Linked DNA regions of Coturnix japonica. The protein of the gene in region 2 purifies or fractionates together with the protein of the main gene of each other region. This does not show direct contact. Links are inferred from orthologs where the notes say so. Each region holds a gene or a part of one and is shown on either strand. Other genes may lie near its edges.

Region 1 (3,814 bases), on a different chromosome or scaffold from region 2:
TTCAGTATCACTTCTCCTATTTAGACTTTGTCTATAAGCCTTTGTCTATAAATAATTACATAAGCGTTCAAAGCTGTCACTGCTCTTCATGCTGAGTCTATTGTACTATGCTCTTCCAGCTAAACAGGTGAAAACTCCAGCAACCAGCATTCTATATTTTCAATACATGTTTCCAGCACAGATAACTCCAGAGTTTGTGTTTCTAACAGTACGTGTTTAAAAATACTTTACAAATCTATGCTGCCTCTGCAGCTCAGAACTGGAAGAGACTGAAATAAATAAATAAATAAATAAAATGTTATTACATTGCTTAACTTTTTACTTCCTGAACTTTTTAAATTATGTCCTCTGTGTTTTCAAAATTCATAATGCCAGAAAACCCATTTATATACATCTCAGTGAATCTTGACGCCTATAATATAAAAAGAATGAAAAAAGTCACTTAGGGATATTTCAATTACTCTGTGTGTATCCACATCCAAGAAGGTTCTAAAAGAAACCTAATTTTGCTGACAAATAAGCAAAGCACAGGTGAACCACAACAGGGTGAAAGAGTCGGAGGACACAGCTTTAGTTGTACAGAGGAGTAACCTCTGGTGTCAGCGCAGAACAGTGGCAAACAAGGTAGATGGACCTTATGCTGGTTCACTTTACAGTAGAAGTTTTCTATAAAGTATTTTCAGTCCATGGAAGTTCTCACTTAGGTCATAAATGAGAAAATAGTAATGGGTATTGAATACAATTCTTAAAACAATTATTCACCCTCCGTTTTCAGTTCAAATTTACCTATTTTAGGCAAAAAGTCAGTGCTAATTTAAGAATTCTGCTGAAAGAATAATCACTTTTCTGAAATCACCCTTCTAAAATTTTCATCCACTCATTTAAGTTTTTATGGCATGTTACACTGAACAAGATGTGATCATTAGAAGACAGATTAAGAGAGACAAAGAATATGTGCAGATAGAGCTATTCTATTCTTACTCTGCTTCTTCTTAAACTATGGATACTTGCAGCATGTGGTCAAGGAAAGCAAAAGTGTTAGAGAAGCTTGAATTAACTGAATCTAATGATTAACATTTGAAGGTGAAAAACAATGTTAACTTCCCTTTATTTACCCAGTTTTCTGAAATGAACTCAAATCAAGATAACGTTGAATTATAGTTGGCATGAAACAACATAAAACTTCTACCTTTTTTTAAGGACATGAGCAAACTTCAGCTAGTTTGATAACTCAGATGTACTAGATGCTTAATTTCCCATTAGCTACATCATAAACTTAGTAGTATTATTTGAAAGGACAGTCTTCTTTGTATGAAACCATATTTGATTCATGTACTAACACTGTTATGCCTTTGAGACGTTATTTATTTCCCATTCCAGTTACTATCAGGATTTTAAGAACTCTTAAGAAAACACTAACAAAACTGGTTATGCAGCTTATGAACCTATGTCCCTTTAAACAGATGCTACAAAACAAAAATAACGTGTTTTTTCCTTCACTAGGAATGCAAACAAATGCATTTAGAGAAACGATAACATCCTTCTCAGACAGGCAGAATCCCTACCAGTATTTTTGCCAATATGCCATCATCGCTTGATTCCATGGTAACCACCGCTTTGTCTGTTTCAATTTCACACAGTGCATCTCCAGCATTCACCATTTCACCTGCAAAATATAATAGAACTTAATGCATGATCTAAACTGCTTTTATATCTCTTTAACCATTGAAGAGAGACACTTAAGCAAACAATACAGCCCTTTTACATTCTTAAACACATGCTACAGCTAGTAGATTCCCTGTTGTGATCTGTCATATTGTATTGTTCATTTTCATATACAACCAATAAGATTCAGAGATAGAAATAAAAACAGTAGAACATTGACATAGCAATGTTTACAGAAGGCATTCCAAGACAAAGTACACACACACGATGAAAATTGATAAGTAGCACTGCCACAAATGCAATCCTCAGCCTTCTCTATTCATTGCTTGTCAACAGTCTAAGTAAGATACTTAAAGTTTTTGAGGCAGTGGTTATAGGCAGCAATGCCTGTGACTAAGTATCATAGTTCCATAGCTTGTACCTACACTATCAAAGCTTTTCAAACAGAAATATGAAGAACTTCAAACTCTTTGGAAAGTGTATCTGCCAGCTTGGCTTCTCAATCTCTTCTACAGCCAAAAAAAAAAAAAAAAAAAGAAAGAAAAGCAAAACAAAAAACAAACAAACAAACAAAAAAACTTTGTGAAATACAACCATGCACAAATGTTAAAAATTCCTTTTACTACATTACAGGAATATAAATAGAATAATTACAGAGTATACCCCTCTGCTTTTCAAGAATACCCATATCTGCTGTCATGCAATAAAAGTTACTGTCTGAATTCCTTCAGCAGATCAATACTGACCATGTGGCCTATTTAATTCTGCCACCTTGACGATAAGCATCAGAAAATACCAGTGCAGGTTGTAACCTACATTTTAAAGCTTATAATTTAGTAGTTTCTACGTTTGGGTATGATTGTCTGAATTAGGATAAAAGAATATCAAGTATTTATTATCTTCGCGATCTCTGCAGGGATAAGCAACAGGGACATTCAAACCTCAATTACATAGCCTTAGAAATCATAAACAATCTCATTATGGAACTTGGCAGGTCACAAAGTAGCACCATTTTTTTTAATTTAATAATCTAATTGCCGCACTGCACTTTGCAATAACTAGAGCATAAACGGTACACAACAAGAAGCTGAATTTCCAGGCTATCTATCAGTGACTTAATCCCATTGGATTATTAATTCAAGTGCCCTACATATCAGACCATTAGGTAAGTACCTCATAGCTGTTAAGAAATCAAATTGTTGAGCAAATTTCATAACCTATATAGCTAAGAAAGGAGCATAACACCCTATATCTGCTTGCTCCTTCTCTTCCTGGAATCTGCAATCAATCTGACAATATTCTGCATCATTGAGAAGATCTCTCACTACTGCAGACTACCTAGTACTAACTCTAACAGCACAAGCTAGCAAAAATATATATTTATATCACACATTTGTCCCTTAAAACATAACTCCTAACCCAGGCACATGGATCTGTTCATAAAAAGCTAAGGACTCTTACGCAGGGAAGGCAACTGGAAACGACTTCAAGGAAATGGGTAAATCACTTTTCACTTGTTTGAGTTTGTATTCTTTCCCCCGTTCCCAGTAAACATTGCAGCCAAGAACTGGTCACAGATTTGGAAGGCAATTAATCAAATGCAATTTTAATCAAGAATACTTCACAGCTGGCTTCAAAATCTCACGGGTTTCAGTGACTAACTGTAATAGAAAGGACCATAGTTGTTTCCAGTATAGAGTGCAAAATGTGATAGTTCCAAAATAGGGCCTGATTTGATGTCAATTACAGATCAGCTTTCACTGTAGAGATGATTGGGAAGAACGGCTTTGCAAAACATTACCTTTGTTTTTACATTTTTGAATGAGAATGCAGTTTTTGCAACAGCAGTTGCCTTACTAGCAGAAAGCTCTCTGAGATTATATACAATGCACTTAAAAATGCTTTTTATTTTCACATTTAAAAGATAAAAACTTAAAGGAGTCATTTCTTATAGCTAGACTGAATGATTAGTACTTCTACTGAAACTGACTTTCCCTCTAGGAAATCCCTTCCAACTGACATTCAATAGCCTGAATTCTCCATTCAATTACTAGCAGACAAGTATCCAAATCACAAGATACAAACTGCATTCTTTGAAGTGCTCTTTGCAAATTAAATCAAAGTTGACTGAGCAATGAAGTCCCTTGAG
Region 2 (4,514 bases):
TCCATTGGTCTAATGGTGCGCAGATTTATAACCTTAAAAAAAGGCACTGAGTGAGTTTTGCTGTGATCTGATCGTGACCTTTACTGCTGTTTGGGCACTGTGTCCTTTAGCACTTCAATCTATTCTGACTTTGACAAGAAGACTTAATGAAATTACTTCTTATCCTGACAGATGCTTCAGAATGGCTTTTGGTGGCTCATCAAGCATGGAAAATGCTTAATGAGTCTCACTGTATATAATCATGCTGCTACATACTGTCATTGTTCTGCTCATTGTACAGGCAGATCAATCTGAAAGTCTCTGGTAGTTCTGACTTGATTTTGTGATGAAAAGGTCAAACGCAGAAACAAGAAATGCACATACTCTGGCAGTTAAGGCACTTACAAAAGCTTGGAGTTTATAAAGTGATGTTCTACAGAGCCTGAACAAGGTGACCCTCTGCCTTTTTCCTTGTACAGAGAAAAGCAACAGAAACCCCACACACCTCACACTCAACACCTTCTTTGGCCAGGATAGAAGCTGCTTCCAAACAGTGCCCAACAGGCCTAGAGTGCGCCACTAATGTAACATGAGTTCCTGGAACAGAAACAAGTTTTAAAGAAGAAACAAATGCAGAAAAAAAAAAACCCACCACACACACAAAAAAGCATTTTTCTTGGGCTCTTTTGTAGGTAGCATCAGTATTCTCATGCAAATTTAAGTTCCTTACATCTACATGAAATGTTAAGTATTTCTATACCTGTGAAGAATGGCAGCAGGACTATGTGAGGATAATCTTTTGATTCAGGGATCTAAATAATGTTTTCAATACTTTTCGGATTATTTTTTTTTTTACGCTTTCATGCTATTCATTGGTAAATTATAAACAGGCTGAAAAATTACAATGATATCTTCTGCATTTTGGACAAAAATGACATAGTAAGGTGAGAACTTCCCTGCACATCACCAACACCATCCTTAGGCTGAGAAAGAAACCTTCTAGGGAGGTACAGTTTTAAGTGAGAAACTGAGAACAAACAATTGAGTACAATACAGGATAAATCATATTTGAGTATTTAACAATTTAAATGTGTTCCTGTGCCCCATGATAGCAGTATTTTGAACAGCTAAGAGTCCCCAGGCAGCTTGGTTAGTAAGGATACATACAGGTACATACACTGTGTTCTCAGCTTACCTTCCCTTTCTATTTTGGCCTTTCCAATTGGAATAACAAAGTCCTTTGACTGTGCCTGTTCTGACATCTCAAAGGGAACGCCGTACAGCAATTCACTTTCCAGCACCACAACTAGAACAAAACATACTTGGATTAATTCATACCTCTGCAGGAACAGGCTGTACTTATCATTAACGGTACCGCAGAAGAATATTTGCAAGACCAATACAAACAATTAAAAGTCAATCAACTTCACTACGCAGTTAGTTTAAATACTGTCTTCAGTTCATCTCTAAAGGTAGATCAAGGGAAAACTGCAAAGGCTGTGGCTAAGAAATGTTTCTGTAGAACTGCTAGCTTCAGAAAAAGCCTTACATTTTGCACGTGTGCTTGTGAGAAAGAAAGATGAAGGTTGCCCTGATTTTGCTTAATGAGATTCTGAATTTATCATCTAAGCTTCATCAACTCTAAAAAATGAGTTACACTGTACTGTATCTGCAGGTACTTCTCCTGACTCATCTTCATCCTTTATAATGCCTTTACAATGAGTTCATAAATGTGTCTTTCAAAGCTTCTAGATGAGTACCTGCAAGCAGGTTAGAACAGCACAAAATGCTTAAGTGCTGAATAAACTTTTTATCTTTTTACATGAGGTGGGAGAGGAAAAGAAGCATTCAGAAATGAGAGTTAAATACTGCCGTCATCTGACTGTGCTCACCTGGATTATCGTCCCGGATCGATGCCTTCAGCAGCCCCTTGGCATCTTCTGAGCTCCAAGGACTGACAACCTTCAGCCCCGGGCAGTGCCCGTACCAGGCAGCGAAGCACTGCGAGTGCTGTGCGGCAACGCCAGCTGAAGCCCCGTTGGGGCCACGGAACACGATGGGGACGGCGATGGTTCCTGCAGACATGTAGCACGTCTTGGCAGCAGAGTTGATAACCTGGTCGATTGCTTGCATGGAGAAGTTGAACGTCATGAATTCACACACCGGCCTCAACCCCGCCTATCAGAGTTAGACCATACGATATGTTTTAACACCAAAGCAGCTCGTTTTGTACATCAGTTCATTAGGACTGAGGGCGTACTGACCATTGCGGCACCAACGGCGATTCCTGCGAAGCCCATCTGGAAGAGGAGCAAACAGCATTAAGCGCCACAGCTCGGCCCACGGGGAGCCCTGTGGGGGGAGCCCCGCGCCGTACCTCGGAGATGGGGGTGTCGATGATCCTCTTGTCCCCGTATTTCTTCCACAGCCCCCTGGAGATCTGAAAGGATCGGAGCGGTGTCAGCCCCCGCACAGCCCGCACTGCGGCCCCGGCAGGGCCCCCCCTCCCTCACCTTGTAGGCACCGTCGTACTGTGCCACCTCCTCGCCCAGCATGAACACACGCTCATCCCGCTCCAGCTCCTCGTCCAGCGCCTGGTTCAGCGCGTCCCGCACCGTCACCTGCGGGAAGCGGCAGCCGGGCAGTGCTGGGCAGGGCAGGGCGGCCGTCCCTCGGCTCACCCGCACCACCCCGCCCGTACGGATGAACCCCCCGCCCCAGCTCCATCCTCACGGCCCGTACCTGGATGGCGGCGGGCGCGGAGAGGTGGAAGCCTCTGCGTGGCGAGAGAAGGCGGCCTCGCGGCACCAGCAGCCGCAGCGCTCCCGCCGCCGCCGCCATCTTGGCCGTGTCCTCTATAGCACCGGGCAACGGCCCGGCCCCCGCGCTACCTCGGCCCCTGCCTGAACTCTCGCGAGAACTGGCGCTGGCAGCCAGCGCTCTTTTTATGCGTCACTTCCGGTCTCGCGCTGTGGTGGCGGTGAGGCCGTGCCGCGCTCGGTGCTGCTCGCATGGCGCCGCTCGGGGCGCGATCAACGCGGCATCGCCTCCTGCCGCCGGGACCGCACCGCCCCCACCGCCCCCCTTCATCTGTGTGCCCCTCTTCAGTGACACAACTGCCCGCCAAGGAGGCGTGGGGCGGAGCGAGGTGTCCCCACTGTCGGCCCTGAGGTGAAAGGAGGCGGCTTCCCTCCCTCACCCGAGCGGAGCGGGCGGAGACACGGGGAGGGGATCGCGGCAGAACCCGCCCCCGCTCCTCCCTCCTCGGCGGCTGCTTCGCTCCCGGTTCAGTCGCCCCCATCATCGCCGGGCTCTGCTTCAGCGCCGGGACCTGCGACTGTGAGTGTGAGGAGGGGCGGGGCCGGGCCGGGCCGGGCCGGGCTGTGCTATGCTATGCTATGCTATGCTGTGCTGTGCTGTGCTGTGCTGTGCTGTGCTGTGCTGTGCTATGCTGTGCTGTGCTGTGCTGTGCTGCTGTGGGGGGTGGGAGGGAAACACGGGGCTGTGAGCGGCCGGAGGCTGCACTGGGGGGGGGGAAACGGGGCTGGGCCCCCTGTGGGACTGCGGGTACCTGGGGCTGGGGGCTGCCGGGCCCCGTTTGGGATGTTGTGAGGCTGTACCCGGCCCTCAGTTCGAACAGGGGCTGCCCCTCGCTGCAGGAGGGCCGGGCTGGGGCCGGGAGCGGTATCCAGGCGATGGGCACTTGGGGGCAGCGGGTGGAGCGGTGCAGTCGTGTCCAGCATCCTTTGCTGAATCATTGCGATCTCAGGGGGAGATTTCCTTCCGTGCGTTCCTCTGGGATGGAAAGCGGCTGTTCCCGACTCCTCCTGTGGGCCTGGGTTTGAAGGGACGATTCTTGTCACCATCCTGCTGCTTGGTCCCTGTGTCAGCACTGTTGGCTGTGCAGGATGTGCTCCTGACACCTGCCTTCATCCAGCACTGCTGGGAGATGTTTCCCCATGCACACAGCTGCCTGCTGGTGCCATGGAACAAGATACGTGGGTAAAACCAACTACTGACACTGTGCAGAGTGACTGTGTGGTGCCAGCAGGAGCAGGGCAGGTGCAGTTGCAGTCCTTGGACTCCTGCATGAGGAGGGTCAAATGGTGATGTGGGATTTTCAAGCATCTGGCAGATGGAGCTTCAGAACCCAGTCCCAAACTGAGATGTTGTATTGTTCCTCAGGTGTGGGAAAGAAACTTTCAGAGCTTGGAATTCATAGTGAAGCAATTAGGCATAAAGGAGCGAGAATGCTGAGTGGCCACTGTTGGTGTTTTGCTCTCTTGCCTGAGGTGAAGGCTGAAATATTAACCAAAAGAAGCAGAGAAAATAAGGAGAAGTTACGTTCTAATAAACTGTGTTAATCATTGTAAACTTGACGTGTGTAGGTGAGGGATTCATCCTTTAGCAATGCCAAGCTGTGGTATTACCAGAAGTTTTGGTAAGCGGTTGTTTCCATAGCATAGTTTGTTGCTTGGGGTAGCTCAGCACTGTATGGCCTTGGGTTTGCTCTGCAGACTATTGCCTTGCTCTGC

Evidence for each region.
Region 1: the proteins of PDHB (region 2) and PDHX purify together in Homo sapiens (affinity purification with mass spectrometry; 4 studies listed by BioGRID and IntAct, counting the BioPlex papers as one, with this or other methods). This does not show direct contact. The link is inferred for Coturnix japonica from reciprocal best matches to the Homo sapiens genes PDHB and PDHX.

What each region holds. Positions count from the first base shown.
Region 1 is NC_029520.1:5,982,774-5,986,587, forward strand, and holds part of PDHX (pyruvate dehydrogenase protein X component, mitochondrial), read right to left. Parts: intron 1,667-3,814; coding exon 1,566-1,666; intron 1-1,565.
Region 2 is NC_029527.1:9,335,680-9,340,193, forward strand, and holds the start of PDHB (pyruvate dehydrogenase E1 component subunit beta, mitochondrial), read right to left. Parts: upstream 2,885-4,514; 5' UTR 2,821-2,884; coding exon 2,722-2,820; intron 2,601-2,721; coding exon 2,493-2,600; intron 2,420-2,492; coding exon 2,357-2,419; intron 2,280-2,356; coding exon 2,244-2,279; intron 2,158-2,243; coding exon 1,872-2,157; intron 1,286-1,871; coding exon 1,175-1,285; intron 577-1,174; coding exon 485-576; intron 33-484; coding exon 1-32. UniProt on the Homo sapiens protein: The pyruvate dehydrogenase complex catalyzes the overall conversion of pyruvate to acetyl-CoA and CO(2), and thereby links the glycolytic pathway to the tricarboxylic cycle.